Linked DNA regions of Sus scrofa. Each later gene encodes a partner of the first gene's protein in a complex. Links are inferred from orthologs where the notes say so. Each region holds a gene or a part of one and is shown in the gene's direction. Other genes may lie near its edges.

What was found. Proteins that work in one complex are often made in the same cells at the same time.
Region 2: the proteins of GNAO1 (region 1) and HRH3 are in contact, whole or in part, in a cryo-EM structure (PDB 8YN7), measured with the Homo sapiens proteins. The link is inferred for Sus scrofa from reciprocal best matches to the Homo sapiens genes GNAO1 and HRH3. Residues at the interface, in NP_066268.1 of Homo sapiens: Ile28, Ala31, Lys32, Asp33, Val34, Lys193, Asn194, Leu195, Asn312, Pro315, Asn316, Lys317, Glu318, Ile319, Tyr320, Phe336, Thr340, Asp341, Ile343, Ile344, Ala345, Asn347, Leu348, Arg349, Gly350, Cys351, Gly352, Leu353, Tyr354; in NP_009163.2 of Homo sapiens: Asn69, Asp131, Arg132, Ser135, Val136, Ala139, Val140, Tyr142, Arg143, Ala144, Gly147, Ile221, Ile225, Arg228, Arg232, Thr345, Phe348, Arg349, Arg352, Val356, Leu360, Cys415, His416, His417.
Region 3: the proteins of GNAO1 (region 1) and P2RY2 are in contact, whole or in part, in a cryo-EM structure (PDB 9K20), measured with the Homo sapiens proteins. The link is inferred for Sus scrofa from reciprocal best matches to the Homo sapiens genes GNAO1 and P2RY2. Residues at the interface, in NP_066268.1 of Homo sapiens: Ala31, Lys32, Asp33, Val34, Leu195, Gln305, Glu309, Glu318, Ile319, Tyr320, Cys321, His322, Met323, Val334, Phe336, Thr340, Asp341, Ile343, Ile344, Asn347, Leu348, Gly350, Cys351, Gly352, Leu353, Tyr354; in NP_002555.4 of Homo sapiens: Asn66, Ser68, His130, Arg131, Gly134, Val135, Pro138, Leu139, Leu142, Arg143, Met221, Arg224, Leu225, Ala229, Tyr230, Gly231, Thr232, Ser233, Pro237, Ala239, Lys240, Lys242, Ser243, Arg245, Thr246, Leu308.
Region 4: the proteins of GNAO1 (region 1) and C5AR1 are in contact, whole or in part, in a cryo-EM structure (PDB 8JZP), measured with the Homo sapiens proteins. The link is inferred for Sus scrofa from reciprocal best matches to the Homo sapiens genes GNAO1 and C5AR1. Residues at the interface, in NP_066268.1 of Homo sapiens: Ala31, Lys32, Lys193, Asn194, Leu195, Glu318, Tyr320, Phe336, Thr340, Asp341, Ile343, Ile344, Ala345, Asn347, Leu348, Arg349, Gly350, Cys351, Gly352, Leu353, Tyr354; in NP_001727.2 of Homo sapiens: Asn71, Phe75, Arg134, Leu137, Val138, Pro141, Ile142, Gln145, Ile225, Thr229, Arg233, Ala234, Thr235, Arg236, Ser237, Lys239, Thr240, Val243, Val244, Ala303, Gln305, Phe307.
Region 5: the proteins of GNAO1 (region 1) and CHRM2 are in contact, whole or in part, in a cryo-EM structure (PDB 7T8X), measured with the Homo sapiens proteins. The link is inferred for Sus scrofa from reciprocal best matches to the Homo sapiens genes GNAO1 and CHRM2. Residues at the interface, in NP_066268.1 of Homo sapiens: Lys24, Ile28, Ala31, Lys32, Leu195, Tyr320, Asp337, Ala338, Thr340, Asp341, Ile343, Ala345, Asn347, Leu348, Gly350, Cys351, Gly352, Leu353, Tyr354; in NP_000730.1 of Homo sapiens: Asn58, Arg121, Cys124, Val125, Pro128, Leu129, Thr130, Pro132, Val133, Lys134, Thr136, Ile209, Ser213, Lys214, Ser215, Arg216, Ile217, Arg381, Lys384, Val385, Thr388, Ile389, Cys443.

The regions. Positions count from the first base shown.
Region 1 is NC_010448.4:29,428,875-29,432,374, reverse strand, and holds part of GNAO1 (guanine nucleotide-binding protein G(o) subunit alpha), read left to right. Parts: intron 1-998; coding exon 999-1,152; intron 1,153-3,285; coding exon 3,286-3,473; 3' UTR 3,474-3,500. UniProt on the Homo sapiens protein: Guanine nucleotide-binding proteins (G proteins) function as transducers downstream of G protein-coupled receptors (GPCRs) in numerous signaling cascades.
Region 2 is NC_010459.5:61,622,365-61,624,478, reverse strand, and holds the end of HRH3 (histamine H3 receptor), read left to right. Parts: coding exon 1-540; 3' UTR 541-1,614; downstream 1,615-2,114. UniProt on the Homo sapiens protein: The H3 subclass of histamine receptors could mediate the histamine signals in CNS and peripheral nervous system. Signals through the inhibition of adenylate cyclase and displays high constitutive activity (spontaneous activity in the absence of agonist).
Region 3 is NC_010451.4:7,691,110-7,694,860, forward strand, and holds the end of P2RY2 (P2Y purinoceptor 2), read left to right. Parts: intron 1-1,905; 5' UTR 1,906-1,909; coding exon 1,910-3,031; 3' UTR 3,032-3,251; downstream 3,252-3,751. UniProt on the Homo sapiens protein: Receptor for ATP and UTP coupled to G-proteins that activate a phosphatidylinositol-calcium second messenger system. The affinity range is UTP = ATP > ATP-gamma-S >> 2-methylthio-ATP = ADP.
Region 4 is NC_010448.4:53,107,162-53,109,612, forward strand, and holds part of C5AR1 (C5a anaphylatoxin chemotactic receptor 1), read left to right. Parts: intron 1-1,930; coding exon 1,931-2,451.
Region 5 is NC_010460.4:12,457,315-12,460,814, reverse strand, and holds part of CHRM2 (muscarinic acetylcholine receptor M2), read left to right. Parts: intron 1-37; 5' UTR 38-84; coding exon 85-1,485; 3' UTR 1,486-3,500. UniProt on the Homo sapiens protein: The muscarinic acetylcholine receptor mediates various cellular responses, including inhibition of adenylate cyclase, breakdown of phosphoinositides and modulation of potassium channels through the action of G proteins.

The DNA.
Region 1 (3,500 bases):
AAAACCGTCAACTAAGAGTTGAAAGCAGCAGATTCCCAGGGCACCGCCGGGTGACATTGCTGTGATGCCTGCTCCCCACTCCCACGTCCCACACTCCTCACCAGCCGCTCGGCTTAGGCTGGTCTTGCCCACCATCCCCTTCCAGCTCCAGCCACGCAGGCCACAGCCCCAGGGTGGCCACTGCCTCTGTGAGGCCACACGGGGCCTCCAGAGGGGCCGGCTTTGACTTCCTGGCCCGAGACTGGTTGAACCCATTTGGGTTTTTTTTTCCCTCTCTCTTTCCTTCATGTTTTCTGCTGGGTTTTTATCTTCCTCTCTGTTTTAATCTCTCTTGCTGGCTTTCATCTTGGGGTTCATCCAGCCCCTCTGCTGAGAAACCAGCCCCAATAATCAGCTCACTCAGAACGCCCCCCCACCGCCCCGGCCCAATCACAACCCAGCTAAACCCACCCAGTCCCCAATCACACCAAGGCCACAGCAAGATCACACCCCCGACGCTGTCCTCCTGGTGTCTGCTTCCAACTCTGGATTAATTCGAGGATCTCTTAGTCCTCGGTTAATGTCTCCCAACTGAATGCGTGCACCCTCCCACCTCTGCTGGCGAAACCAAATGAGACCCCAGTAGAAAAATCTGCATGCCCGCGGTCCCATGTGGACATGTGGATGGTGGTGCGGCCCCTTCCCCTGCGTGCATGGTGCATGTCCTCTCCGTGGGCTGGAGTCCCTCCAAGTGACCTCGCTGCCCCTTCCCGGGTCAGCCTTTTTCAGGGGAAGGGCAGCGTTCCCCACCCTGCCGCCCTGCTCCACCCCACCTGCCTGCGTGTGGAATGCAGCAGGGACCACATCCTCGTCCTGTGGGTCCTCCCATCTCCATCCCTGGTGGTGCGTTCAGCCGCATTAGTGGACCTTCCCTTTGCTTGTCCTGCTGTGTTACTGGCCGCGGTGGGTCAGGGCCCCAGGTACTACCAGCCCTCACTGGACTCTCCACTCTATTGCAGAACCGCATGCATGAATCCCTGAAGCTTTTCGACAGCATCTGTAACAACAAATGGTTCACGGACACGTCCATCATCCTGTTTCTTAACAAGAAGGACATATTCGAAGAGAAGATCAAGAAGTCCCCGCTAACCATCTGCTTTCCTGAGTACACAGGTAGAGACTGCCACGCCCCTCAGGGGCCACACAGCCACTCTGGCCACACCAGTTCCTGAGGGAGCTCAGTCCCCCTTACCATACCCTGCGGATGCACCAGGTTCTCTCATGGAGAAGCCAACATAAAACCAAAGGCGGGCCCCTCCCTTCCCCATCATGTCCTGTATGTAGTGCGGGCCCGGGGCAGCCAGCTGGGGCTTCCTAGTCAGGGGAGGCAGGGCTGGGATCCTGATCTCTGCAACCTCTTGGACCTAGGTCACCTGTAGATAGAGATTATCAGTCAAGTGGCAACACCAAGATGGTAATGGGGGTTAAGATCAGGGGCTTCGAGTCAGGCATCCCCAGGCTCATGTCCCCACTCTGCCACTCACAGCAGGTCATGTAACTTCTCGGAGCGTCAGTTTTCACATCTGTGAGATGAGGATAATCACTGTGATTATCCAGCCCTCCCTCCCAGAGCTGCCAGGAGGACAAAGTGAGCTCAAGAACCTAGAGAGCTTAGCATGGCAGCTGGTGCTTAGTAAGTGCTCACTAAACATTTGCTGTTACTCTTATAACTGGGATTATAACTCAAAAATATCATGACAGCACCTCCCACACGGGTAGTTATAGGATTCAAATGGCCTGTTGGATGTGAGAGAGCTTCACAAGCAGGAGCGACCAGGGCCGTCTGCGGAGGGTTCTGAGGATGCTGAAGGCCACCTCTGTTAACATTGCCGCGGGTTTACCTGACGGTGGGTGGGTGATGGAGGCAGCCTGACCAGGGCCCCCAGCAGGCAGCAGGGTGGCTAGAATAGCCCAGGTACCTGCTGGCTCTTTAGGATGGCCAGCGCCTGGTCAGAGAGGTGAGTGGAGGCAGAAGTGGGCCTCCTCAGCCCAAGCAGCACCCCCGGCCTAGAGAGCACAAAGGCAGAGTCCCAGCAAGGTGGGCCTGCTGGGGGTGACTCCAGACTGAGCCCCAGTTCCCCCAGAGTGGACATGGGGCTACACTTGAAGCCAGACGAGTGTCCCCCTTCCTCTAGAAGAGGATGACTGCCCAGAGGCCAGGACCCCAAGCAGCATGCAGCCAGAGGTGGGCCGGGCTCAACCTCCCCCACACTCACCAGTCAGCCTCCTTTTAGGTGTACATAAAGTGTGGGTCTGTGGGTCCTGCTGTAGGTGACCTGGGGTGTAGCCCATGGGGCAGCAGAAGCAGCGTGAGGCAGTTTGCCAAGGCTGATGTGCTCCCAAGGACACACTCCCTCATCTCCAGCTCACATTTAGGAAAGAGCTGTGGCCTGGTAGACCCTCAAGGCCAGGCCTGCTGGCCTGCACCCCTGTGTCGAGGAGCTGCAGCCATGCTCATCCTGGGCCTCCAGTTTGCACAGGAGTCACCCCAGCTTAGTGCCATAGCTGTGAAGTTCAGCTCCCCTCTTCCTCCCTCAGTGTGTTGTGGCAGCTGGGCCTGGGCCCGTGCCTAGACTCCTGAAGCCCAGGGAAGCCTCAGGGCACAGCCAGGAGTCCCGTTCTGTTCCTTCCCAAACTGCCTCTGCCTGGCCTTACCCGGGACAGAGCAATATGGCAGCAAGGAAGGCAGCAAGTCAGCAGCCAGACAGTTCCTAAACCCTGGGTGGTGAATAGGAGAACAGGAGGGCTGGAGGTGAGGTGGAGGAGGAGGGCAGGGGGTTGAGAGGGAGGAGGCCAGGGCGGCTCACAGGTGCCACACAGTTTCCATACACCTTGCCCAGCAGTGGCCAAGGGAGGTGGCATCTCTGCCTGCCCTGCAGGGCATGCGTCAGCCAGGGGCTGGCACAGACATCTTTGGGCAGGACCCACAGGAAGAGAGAACACTTGTATCAGGAGCCCTTAGATGCACTGTAAAAGGAAACAGGAGTCCTGACGCTGCTGAGGCCTAGTGAGGTGAGGTTTGCTTTCTCGTTCCCTTCATTGCTTTTAAAGTGGATGTGGTCCACTGACCTATTTCCTGACCCATGACTGATGGAGCTGAGCTGTCGAGTGTTTGGCACCCCATTAGTTTTCTCCCGAAAGGCTGTCCCTGAGAGGCCCCCAGTGTCTGCTCCCCAGCCCGTGGCCTGACCAGTCCCCCAGCGGGGGCCTCACCTCACCAGCTCCCAAACTTGGTCTCTCCCGCAGGCCCCAGCACCTTCACGGAGGCCGTGGCGTATATCCAGGCCCAGTACGAGAGCAGGAACAAGTCTGCCCACAAGGAGGTCTACACCCACGTCACTTGTGCCACCGACACCAACAACATCCAGTTTGTCTTTGACGCGGTGACGGACGTCATCATCGCCAAAAACCTTCGGGGCTGTGGCCTCTACTGAGCCCTGGCCTCACCGCCCAGCCGCCCG
Region 2 (2,114 bases), on another chromosome or scaffold:
GCTGTGCCGCTGCACAGGTGTGGGGTCGGGGTCGGCGAGGGGGCCCCGGGCACCGAGGCCAGGGAGGCGGCCCTCGGCGGCGGCAGCGGAGGGGGTGCCGCGGCCTCGCCCACCTCCAGCTCCGGCAGCTCCTCGAGGGGCACGGAGCGGCCGCGCTCGCTGAAGAGGGGCTCCAAGCCGTCCGCGTCCTCGGCGTCCCTGGAGAAGCGCATGAAGATGGTGTCGCAGAGCGTCACCCAGCGCTTCCGGCTCTCGCGGGACAAGAAGGTGGCCAAGTCGCTGGCGGTCATCGTGAGCATCTTCGGGCTCTGCTGGGCCCCCTACACACTCCTGATGATCATCCGGGCGGCCTGCCACGGCCGCTGCGTCCCCGACTACTGGTACGAGACGTCCTTCTGGCTGCTGTGGGCCAACTCGGCCGTCAACCCCGTCCTCTACCCGCTGTGCCACTACAGCTTCCGCCGAGCCTTCGCCAAGCTGCTCTGCCCCCAGAAGCTCAAGCTCCAGCCCCACAGCTCCCTGGAGCACTGCTGGAAGTGAGCCGGCCTCCCTGGGCACCTGGGCTGTGGGGGGACAGGCCCTCCCTTGCCGCCCCCTCCAGGTCCTGGCTTCCCAAGCAGCCGGGCCTCGCCCCCCGCCCCCTGGCCGCCCCCAGGGCTGAGCCATGCCTTGTCTCCGGCCCACCCTCAAGGCCATGGCAGCCTCTCTCATCCCTTCCGCTGGCAGTTGAGGCAGCCCGGTGGGCCGTCTGGAAGGGCCCTCGCTGCCCGAACCAGGATGTGGCTGCCCCCGTCCTGCTCTGCCCCAGAGGGCCAACCCAGGGGTCCCAGGCACTCTGTCCACCCCCCACGGACAGTGCGATGGCCAGTGGTGTCCACCCTTCGCAGTTACTGCTTGGTGATCTTCCCAGAGCAAGCGTTTGGCGTGTGCTCCAAGCCTCCAGAGCTGGTGCCCTGGCCCCGCACGTGCACACCCCCGCACACCCGCCTCGTCCCAGACGAGCCCCGGACGCTAGCTTCGCTGCTGTCTCCTGCTTAAGTCCGGGGCCAGGCCCCTTCATCCCTCTTTCTGCCAACTTTCTGTGACCCAAAGTGCCAGATGCCCACCAAGGAGCCTCTGGCACGTCTCGCTTCTCCATCCTGGGAGTTTCAGGGAAGACGGAGAAGGAGAAAACGCGTCCGTGAACTTGATGTTCCTTGGATGTTTAATCAAGAGAGAGAAAATTGCTGAGGAGCTCAGGGCTGGACTGGCAGGTGTGGGCTCCCACGCCCTCCTTCCTCGTGCTGCTGCTTCCGGCCGAGCAGTGCCAGCTGTCTCTGCCCACCCCGCCCCCAGCTCCGGGTGCGGGGCCGGACTGGAGGCTCTGAGAGCGGCTGGAGCCTGGCCGCCTGGTCGTCGGGAAGGCTGCCCCTCCCGCCCCATCTGCTGTCAGAGTCCCCTGGGGCTGTCAGGGGAGGGGACAGGGGCCGGGGTCCAGCAGAGGGGTTGCTTCACCATATCCCACACACCCAGTGGGCGCCCTGCATGCCCAGCTCCCATACCTGCTGTGCTGCCCTGCAGACCCCAGAGTCCACAGTAAAGTGTATTTTTTTATTGGTGCTGATTCCCGAGGACTTCGTGGGGGTGGCCAAGCCCCCGTACCTCAGTCAGGGACCTGGGGAGGGGAACCTGTGGTGGGGGGCAGAGGCGGGGGCAGTGGTTAACAGGTTTAGTCCTAACTAGAGATGCGTGCCTGGCAGTGCCCCCCCCTGGGGGGAACCCCTTTGGTAGCGTGGCATGGCATTGTGCAGGACTCACTCTAGGCTTGAGAGTATCGGCCCCAGCCCCCACCCCCAGGACAGCTGTGATTCCCCCCGCCACCTCCCCCCCCGCCTCCAGGGGCGTGGGGCCTGAAGCTGAGCTGGGGGGAAGGGCCAAGGAGCTTCCTGCACCGAGGCCGGGGCCAGGGGGCTGGGGCCCGGGAGGAGGACCTGATAAGGACAGTGCCGGTGGGCACGGAACCCTTGGGCTCCGCGGGGTGGGGGGCAGACACCGGCCCTCCCCCAGGTGCCCAGAGTCAACTCAGAAAGGGGGCAAGTCCAGCCCAACTTAGGGGGGTTACGAACTTGGGTGGA
Region 3 (3,751 bases), on another chromosome or scaffold:
TTATGGGGAAAGAAATGACCTGAGGGACCCATGTGTCCTCCCCCCCACCCCCGATCTTGACTTCCTGGGCCCTGAGCTGCTTCCCAGGCTGGACAGGAGGCTCGCTGTCTAAGGGAGTGGATGTCGCTGGCTCCACAGGATCCCAGGTTCCAGAATGAAAGGAATGATACAGCCCCAGATTCTCACGGGGTGGGGGGACTCCCACGTCATCTGCCCTCTCCCCTCCCAGACACAGCGACGGAAGGCACAGTGCCATCTGCAGGCTGTGCTAGAAAGCCGCTTGCCCACTCCCGTAAGCAGGGGTCTCTGCCTCCTCTTCCAGCCCCTTCCACCGTGGCATGGACCCAGATGGGAATGGCTGCCCACCCCAGGCCCGTGACCTGGGCCAAATTGCCTGAATGATCCATCTGGCCTTGCCATCCGAAAAGTGGGCACAAGGACCTGGCTCCCGGAAGCGAGTTACAGGGATCGAGTGAAGGGACCTTCATCAGGCACTCGGTGTGGGGGGGGGTTGAAAAATGTCAGCTCCCTCTGCTCTTCACACTGTTAGGAAGTATTTCTTTGTGTTTGTCCCAATCTTGCCCCCCTAAGCCCCCCAGGACCGTCTCTGCCTCCAGGCTGGGATATCTGTCCCCAGCCTCCCGGCGGAGAGAGCTCTTATTGGTCCCCTTGGCAGAGAGGGCAGGTGGCATCCTGATCCCTAGGTGCTCACTGATGGGCCGGTCAGGCCCCATGGGTGTGTTACACGCCCACGAGGGACGAGGAAGGAGAAGATCAAGGTGGTGACAGTGTGAAGAGAAGCTGGATTTGCCCCACAGCAGGCGTCCCCCGCTGTCCCCACTCCCGCCTCCACCCAGACTTGCCTGGAATCTCCAGGAGGGTCACTAGCCCATCTCGTAGCCTTACAGGCCAGGGAGCAGGGCCGCTGTTTACAGATGCAGAAAGTACCAGAATACAAGAGTGCCTAAAAAATATTTGCTGAGAGGTGAATGAATGACTAAAGTGGGAGACCCTTGGAAATACTCCTCAAATACCCAAATTCCAGGCACAGGGCCAGGCCCTCCCCAGAGAGTGGAAAGATGAGCCAAAGGAAAGAACTTTCTCATGCCTCTGGGAACGAATGGGCTGCCCACTGGCCAGAAACAGGCCGTGGGCCCTGGCTGTGGGGTGGACCCAGTCTCAGCCTCAAAGGCCCCTTTCCATGAATCGGAGTCCTCTAACCCTAGATCTAGAACTCTGCGTTCCTGAGCTGCTCAAATAGGGACCCCAAACTCTTTTTTTTTTTTCCAAGGCCAGATGGTTAAGTATTTTAGTCTTTGAGGAGCATATGGTCTTTGCCACAACTTTTCAGCTCTGTAAAAAGATGGGCATGGCTGTGCGCCAATAAAGCTTTATTTACAAAAACAGCCTGCTGGGCTGCATCTGGCCCTTGAGAGGTAGTTGGCCTACCCCCCTGTTCTAAAGTGTTGGAATCCCACCATCCTGACATTCACGGATCTCATGCATCCTTAAGGTTCCGAGGGTCGGGCCCTCGGGCTCCAGGGAAGGAGGCAGATCAGATGCAACAAAGGCCTTGCGTACAGTTGGGCAGATTTTTTTTTTTTCTTTTTTAGCCACACCTGCAGCGTATGGAAGTTCCCTGGTCAGGGATGGAATCCAAGCTGCAGCTGCAGCCTACGCCACAGCTGCAGCAATGCCATATCCTCCACCCACTGCACGAGGCTGAGGGTCGAATCCATGCTGCCACAGAGACCACGCCGGGTCCTTAACCGGCTGTGCCACCATGGGAACGCCTGGTCGGGCGTATCTTAACCCAGGGAGGGTCTGGGCGCTTGGGACCCGGTCGGGCGGCTGTGGCAGGCCACGACTCTGACTCCTCTTCTCCCCACGGCCCCTTCCCTTCAGGGTGATGGCTACAGGCCCCGACCTCTGGAATGGCACCGTCAACGGCACCTCGGATGGGGATGACTGGGGCTACAGGTGCCGCTTCCACGAGGACTTCAAGTACGTGCTGCTGCCCCTGAGCTACGGCGTGGTGTGCGTGCTGGGGCTGAGTCTGAACGCCGGGGCGCTCTACATCTTCCTGTGCCGCCTCAAGACCTGGAACGCCTCCACCACGTACATGTTCCACCTGGCCGTGTCCGACGCGCTGTACGCCGCCTCCCTGCCCCTGCTGGTCTATTACTACGCGCGCGGCGACCACTGGCCCTTCAGCACGGCGCTCTGCAAGCTGGTGCGCTTCCTCTTCTACACCAACCTGTACTGCAGCATCCTGTTCCTCACGTGCATCAGCGTGCACCGCTGCCTGGGCGTCCTGCGGCCGCTGCGCTCGCTGCGCTGGGGCCACGCCCGCTACGCGCGCCGGGTGGCGGCGGCCGTGTGGGGTCTGGTGCTGGCCTGCCAGGCGCCCGCGCTCTACTTCATCACCACCACTGCCCAGGGCGGCCGCATCACCTGCCACGACACGTCGGCCCCCGAGCTCTTCAGCCACTTCGTGGCCTACAGCTTGGTCATGCTGAGCGTGCTCTTCGCGGCGCCCTTCGCCGTCATCCTGGTCTGCTACGCGCTCATGGCCCGCCGGCTGCTGCGCCCCGCGTACGGCACCGCCGGAGGCCTGCCGCGCGCCAAGCGCAAGTCGGTGCGCACCATCGCCGTGGTGCTGGCCGTCTTCGCGCTGTGCTTCCTGCCTTTCCACGTCACCCGCACCCTCTACTACTCCTTCCGCACGCTGGACCTCAGCTGCCACACCCTCGATGCCATAAACATGGCATACAAGATCACCCGGCCGCTGGCCAGTGCCAACAGTTGCCTGGACCCCGTGCTCTACTTCCTGGCCGGGCAGAGGCTCGTGCGCTTTGCCCGGGACGCCAAGCCACCCACAGACGCCACCCCCACCGCCCAGGCCTGTCGCAGGCTGGGCCTGCGCAGGTCCCACGGAACTGACACGAAGAGGACAGAAGACTCGGCCAGCAGCGAGGACTCCAGGCGGACAGAGATCACACCGGCGCGTGGCGAAGACATCCGGCTGTAGGACCCGGACCCCTGGCGCCTGCGCACGCGTGTGGGGGGCGGGGCTGCAGACGTGTTCAAGCCGGACAGTCTCCCTCGGTTTGGCCCATCAGCGACTCAGGCCAGATGGTCGGGAGAGCCGGGACCCCCATGCTCTGTCCCTTGGCCGGGGCCCCGTCTGTCCTCCGTGGTCCAGGGAGCCCCGCAGTCCCCACACCCCTCACCGTTGGTATGTGTGAGTTGGGGGATGAGGTTTTAAGAAAGGCAGGCAGATGCGTGGCTGGGCCTGCCACGGTACCCAGGCTGGAGGCCGGACAGATTGAGTCCAGTGGAAAGATGGGTCCAGAGAGGCCAGTGACTTACGGAGATCACACAGCTGAGCCTGGCCCTGTGCTACGGGGGAGGGGCGGGTGCAGGTTGAGCCAAGGACCCCTGTAAGGAGTCAGGGCTGAGCCAGAGGTTCCACGGTGGGTCAGGGTGGTCTCTGGGTGCCACCGTGGGCTCAGCTCTGAGGATGTTCCCCGGCCCAGGGGAAGAGCATCTGAGAACAGGTGCCATAGACCCATCTGGAGGCTGGAGCGGTTTGGGGCTGGGACTCCTACCAGAGGCGTTATTATCTGCCGAGCTGGGCGCTGCTGTGTGGTTGGAGGGTGGGGGTACAGCCTGCGAAGCTCTGCCATCCACACTGGGTCCTTCCTCCAACCTCTTCTCCTCTGCCATTTGCCTTCCCATGAGCCACCTC
Region 4 (2,451 bases), about 24 Mb from region 1:
GACCCTTTGTCTTGCAGAGTGATTGGGCTAATTTCATCCCTGTGATGTTATTTCTCTCTCTCTCTCTTTTTTTTTTTTTTTTTGTGTGTATGTCTTTTTTAGGGCCACACCCGCGGCATATGGAGGTTTCCAGGCTAGGGGTCGAATCGGAGCTGTCAGTGCTGGCTGACGCCACAGCCACAGCCACGCCAGATCCGAGCTGCCTCTGCAACCAACACCACAGCTCCCGGCAACACTAGATCCTTCACCCAGGGAGTGAGGCCAGGGATCAAACCTGTGTCCTCATGGATACTAGTCGGATTCTTAACCCGCTAAGCCACAATGGGAACTCCCATTTATTCTTTGTCTTGCTGCCCCCAAGTATTTTCTCTCTGTTCTGAGACTGAGGTTTTGGAATGATGATAGGCGAAACGAGGGACTGCCAGGAGTTAAGCGAGGAAGAGAGAGCAGCATAAAAACCAGTGGTGGCACTTGGAGAGGGCCAGGTAGGCTGCTAGGACGAGGGTCTGGATCTGTGTCCTAGCGCTGTGCTGAGTCGTCCTGGGACACGGGGCAGGGCACCTGTGCGCTCCTATCTCAGGATTAACAGTGTTTCCTGAGCCCAGTAGAAAAAGGAAATAAAGCTTTCCCAACCTCCTTCCCAAAACAACTTCCCCCCAAACGCCAACAGCATGATACAGATAAAGCCCCACTAGGTCTGCTTGCCATTGTCAACCTACAAAGACCCTTCGGGTCCTTCAAACTGTGGGCCAATCAGAAGGCTCCCCTTGCACAATAGTAATTTATTTGCAGTTCAGCTTTTTGGGAGGTCCCATTGTGGCTCAGCTGTAACAAATCAATCCCGGGCCTCGCTCAGTGGGGTGAGCATCCGGGGTGGTCAAGAGCTGCGGTGTAGTCAAAGAGGCAGCTCGGGTCCCGAGTTGCTGTGGCTGTGATGTAGGCCAGCAGCTGTGGCTCTGATTCCACCCCTAGCCTGGGCACTTACTCAACCCCTAGCCATATGTCGTGGGTGTGGCCCTAAAAAGGCAAAAAAAATTTTTTTTAATTTGATTTTTTTTCTACTGTAATTTTTTTGGGGGGGCATCAATTTTGATTCTTTAAAATATTGCATTAGGATTTTTTTTTTTTTTTTTGGCTTTTTAGGGCCGCACCTACGGCATGTGGAGGTTCCCGGGCTAGGGGTTGAATTGGAGCTGCAGGTGCTGGCCTATGCCACAGCCACAGCAAGGCCAGATCCAAGCCATGTCTGGGACCTACACCACAGCTCACAGCAACACCAGATCCTTAACCCTCTGAGCAAGGCCACAACCTCATGGTTCCTGGTCGGATTCGTTTCTGCTGCACTATGACGGGAGCTCTTGGATATTATGTGTCTTCGAGGCTGGTTTTCCCTCTTGACCCCTTAAATGCTGTCCTGGTACAGGAGGCCTGCTGCCTTGTCTGGGTGGCTGCCCCCAGGCAGAGCGCAGAGCCGCCTCGGTGGGTGGGATGCAGCCAAACCAGGTCACGTTGCTGGTGGTGATGGTGACGAGGGGTGCTGGGCTGACTACCTCCCGAGTCGTATCATTGCAGTCTGTTGGAGGCATTAAAGGTACCTCCCAAGCAGGGTCCCCGGTACTGACCAGTCAGAGCGGATCACAACCACAGTCTTGCTGTAGGTCTAGGTTTTACCCATTTGTTTGCTGGTTCCTGGGGAAGTCCAGGGATTGGGGTGGGGGGCTGGGAGACAAAGTAGCTTGGAAGGGCTTTCAATATTTTAATAAGTGTTAATGACACCCCAGCGGGCTCTCAGCCCTCGGCATCCCCATTTTCCCAGGAGAAGCCTAACCAAGGATGTGGAGCGCTGGGCTCAAAGCCACGTACCTCTGAGGGTCCCCCACCACCTGTCTGCAGACTCACTCTCCCTGCTTCTCTGGTCCCCCCCCCGCAGGACCCCATGGTTGATAACACCACTGATTACTACAATTATGGCTGGACCCTGCTCCCTGGCCAACCGGTGGATGCCTCTTCCAGAACCCTCAAGCTGCACGCTCCCGACGTGATTGCCCTGGTGATCTTTGTCATTGTCTTCCTGGTGGGAGTGCCGGGCAATGCCCTGGTGGTCTGGGTGACGGGATCCGAGGCCAAGCGGACCATCAACGCCATCTGGTTTCTCAACCTGGCGGTGGCTGACCTCCTCTCCTGCCTGGCGCTGCCCATCTTGTTTGCATCCATCTTGCAGCACAACCACTGGTCCTTCGGGGACGCCGCCTGCCGAATCCTGCCCTCGCTCATCCTGCTCAACATGTACGCCAGCATCTTGCTCCTGGCTACCATCAGCGCCGACCGCTTCCTGCTGGTGTTTAACCCCGTTTGGTGCCAGAACTTCCGAAGGGCCCACCTGGCCTGGATGGCCTGTGGCATGGCCTGGGGCCTGGCTCTGCTGCTGACCATACCTTCCTTCCTGTTCCG
Region 5 (3,500 bases), on another chromosome or scaffold:
ATTATATATTTGTTAATTTTATTTTATTTCCCTGCAGGTTTAAATGTGTATTTGGCTACTTGGCTACTGAGTAGAGAACACAAAATGAATAACTCCACCAACTCCTCTAACAGTGGCCTGGCTCTGACCAGTCCTTATAAGACATTTGAAGTGGTTTTTATTGTCCTTGTCGCCGGATCCCTCAGTTTGGTGACCATTATTGGGAACATCCTGGTCATGGTCTCCATCAAAGTCAACCGACACCTCCAGACAGTCAACAATTACTTTTTGTTCAGCTTGGCCTGTGCTGACCTCATCATTGGTGTTTTCTCCATGAACCTGTACACTCTTTACACTGTGATTGGCTACTGGCCTTTGGGCCCCGTGGTGTGTGACCTTTGGCTAGCTCTGGACTACGTGGTCAGTAATGCCTCAGTAATGAATCTGCTCATCATCAGCTTTGACAGGTACTTCTGTGTCACGAAGCCGCTCACCTACCCCGTCAAGCGGACCACAAAAATGGCAGGTATGATGATTGCTGCTGCGTGGGTCCTCTCCTTCATCCTCTGGGCTCCGGCCATTCTCTTCTGGCAGTTCATTGTAGGGGTGAGAACTGTGGAGGATGGTGAATGCTATATACAGTTTTTTTCCAACGCTGCTGTCACCTTTGGCACTGCCATTGCAGCCTTCTATTTGCCTGTGATCATCATGACTGTATTATACTGGCACATATCCCGAGCCAGTAAGAGCAGGATTAAGAAGGACAGGAAGGAGCCTGTGGCCAACCAAGAACCAGTTTCTCCAAGTTTGGTACAAGGAAGAATAGTGAAGCCGAACAACAATAATATGCCTGGCAGTGATGAAGCCCTGGAGCACAACAAAATCCAGAATGGCAAAGCTCCCAGGGATGCTGTGACTGAGAACTGTGTCCAGGGAGAGGAGAAAGAAAGCTCCAACGATTCCACCTCAGTCAGTGCTGTTGCCTCTAATATGAGAGATGATGAAATAACCCAGGATGAAAACACAGTTTCCACTTCCCTGGGCCATTCCAAAGATGAGAACTCAAAGCAAACATGCATCAAAATTGTCACCAAGACCCAAAAAAGTGACTCATGCACCCCAGCTAATACCACTGTGGAGCTTGTTGGTTCTTCAGGTCAGAATGGAGATGAAAAACAGAACATTGTCGCTCGCAAGATTGTGAAGATGACCAAGCAGCCTGCAAAAAAGAAGCCGCCTCCTTCCCGGGAAAAGAAAGTGACCAGGACGATCTTGGCTATTCTGTTGGCTTTCATCATCACTTGGGCCCCGTACAACGTCATGGTGCTCATTAATACCTTCTGTGCACCCTGCATCCCCAACACAGTGTGGACAATTGGTTATTGGCTCTGTTACATCAACAGCACTATCAACCCTGCCTGCTATGCACTTTGTAATGCCACCTTCAAGAAGACCTTTAAACACCTTCTTATGTGTCATTATAAGAACATAGGCGCTACAAGGTAAAACATCTTTGTAAAGAAGGAAGGTAGTCAAGAGGAGCTTGAGGAACAGAAAAAGAATGAAAGAGCTCCTAGTTTTAAAATCTCTGCCATTGCACTTTATAGTCTTATTAATGGAATGTGCAATTAAGGAGCCCTACAGTGACACTTATTGTGCCTCTGCTCCAATTTGAGAAACTTGCACCTTATAAACCCTGCCAGTTTAGGAGCAATGAGACCATAAAAGAGACGTGTTGGAATTGTGGATTTAAGGAATGATCTGTAGTTTCTCATACTCTCTTGAAGAAGGGCTTCTGAATATATCATTTTATCTCTGCACACAAAAATAATAACCTCTTTTCTTTTTTGTTCACATTTTTGTTACCATGTGTCCATATGAGGATGAAATGCCACAATTACAACCTAACCTCGAGACTTAAACATAAAGAAAGCCATTATACAATGAAGAAGTGAAGAAAGAAGATCAAAAAAGGGTGTAGAAATGGACTCCAGAGTGTTAATATATATTATAATTTTATTACGGTTTGTGGGGAATTGCAACCTAATAAATGTTTATCTTTCTTTGCCATACCCTTTTCCCACCATCAAAAGAGAGCAAAGCAAACAAACAAAACCAAAAATCTTAACTCGTATCACATCATTATTTTTCTCATTATGGCATTGGTTTTTGTATATTGTGTAAGGGCAAAATCTGCAGGACTTCTGCTAAATACAACCAGAGACAGCCATGCAAAAGGGTGTTTTACTCCTGCGCACTGTGTATTTTGCCTTCTTTGGAGGTATGCAGCCCTGTGAGGATTTAGTTCACATATGATCCTTCATGGGAAATATTTTCACCAATCCAGTTTTCTACTAAACTAGCCTATTATTTGAATATAATAGTCTACCTAATATAGAAACATGCTTGAAAAACCAAAGTCGTTTTTAAATTGAGGTTTCATCAAATTAAATAATGGTCATTCTTGTTGGAGAAAGTTTACTGAAGCCAGATGAATTCTGAGATAAGAAAATAGAAGGTGGAAAGGGCATCATGTTTCCACCTGAATCTGCCTGACCCATGTATAAAATGTTAACTTGTAAAACATGAACTCCTGGTCTTTGTCAGCAGGAAGAAGATGTTGCTTTATTCATCTGGAATCTTAAATAGGATTAAACATAGTCATGTGGCACCAATGACTTTTGGGCCAGTCCCAAGAGAATGCTTACTAAAGGATGATATCCAGTTTAGAGTCCAATGAGATTTATAACCATTCTGTAACCTGTGGAGGAAAAAAAGGAGAGTAATTCAAAAAACTTTCCTGAAACCACATGTTTTGTGTTCCTCAAACTGTCAATTCTCCCTAAAATTTTTTAACTCCAAAATTCTGTCAATGAGAAGTATAGTAATCTTGATGGCAGAAGTGTCATGGATATCAAACAGGCCGAGTGAGCTCAGCAGAATATGAAAGAAGGTAGGTAAAAGAAGGTAGTGGCACTTCCCACTGTTCCTTTAGTTATAGACCTTAGAAAATCATAACAGGAATGATTACCCAGTGGTGGCTTTACATAGACTCTTGTCTATATAGAGACTTTTTATTGGCCAATAAATATATGATTATATTGATTCATATTTAGTTATTTTTACTCCTTGACTTTTTTTCTTACTGTATTTGCTATAGTCTTCCAATAAGTTTTTAAAACACGGCCCAATCAGTAGCAATCAAATTTATTAAAACCTTTTTGAAGTTCATATGTTGCATTTTAGATGTATGGGCTTTAGGATATCTTGACCATTAATATCCATGTGAGGTGCATGATGAACTTGTCAGTATTAGGCTTTAGTGCTTTAATTAGAGTTCTTTTATGTGACTTGCCTCTCAGATGGCATCTCAAAAATTTTGAGAGCTGAAACAAAAAGCACAAGGTAAATAACAATAAAAAAGACAATTAGCAAGAAGCAAATCACCAACATTTGTAAATAACACATCCTTTGTAAAAATAACCTCTCGTTTCAATAACTTCGGTCATTCCCCCCAACCA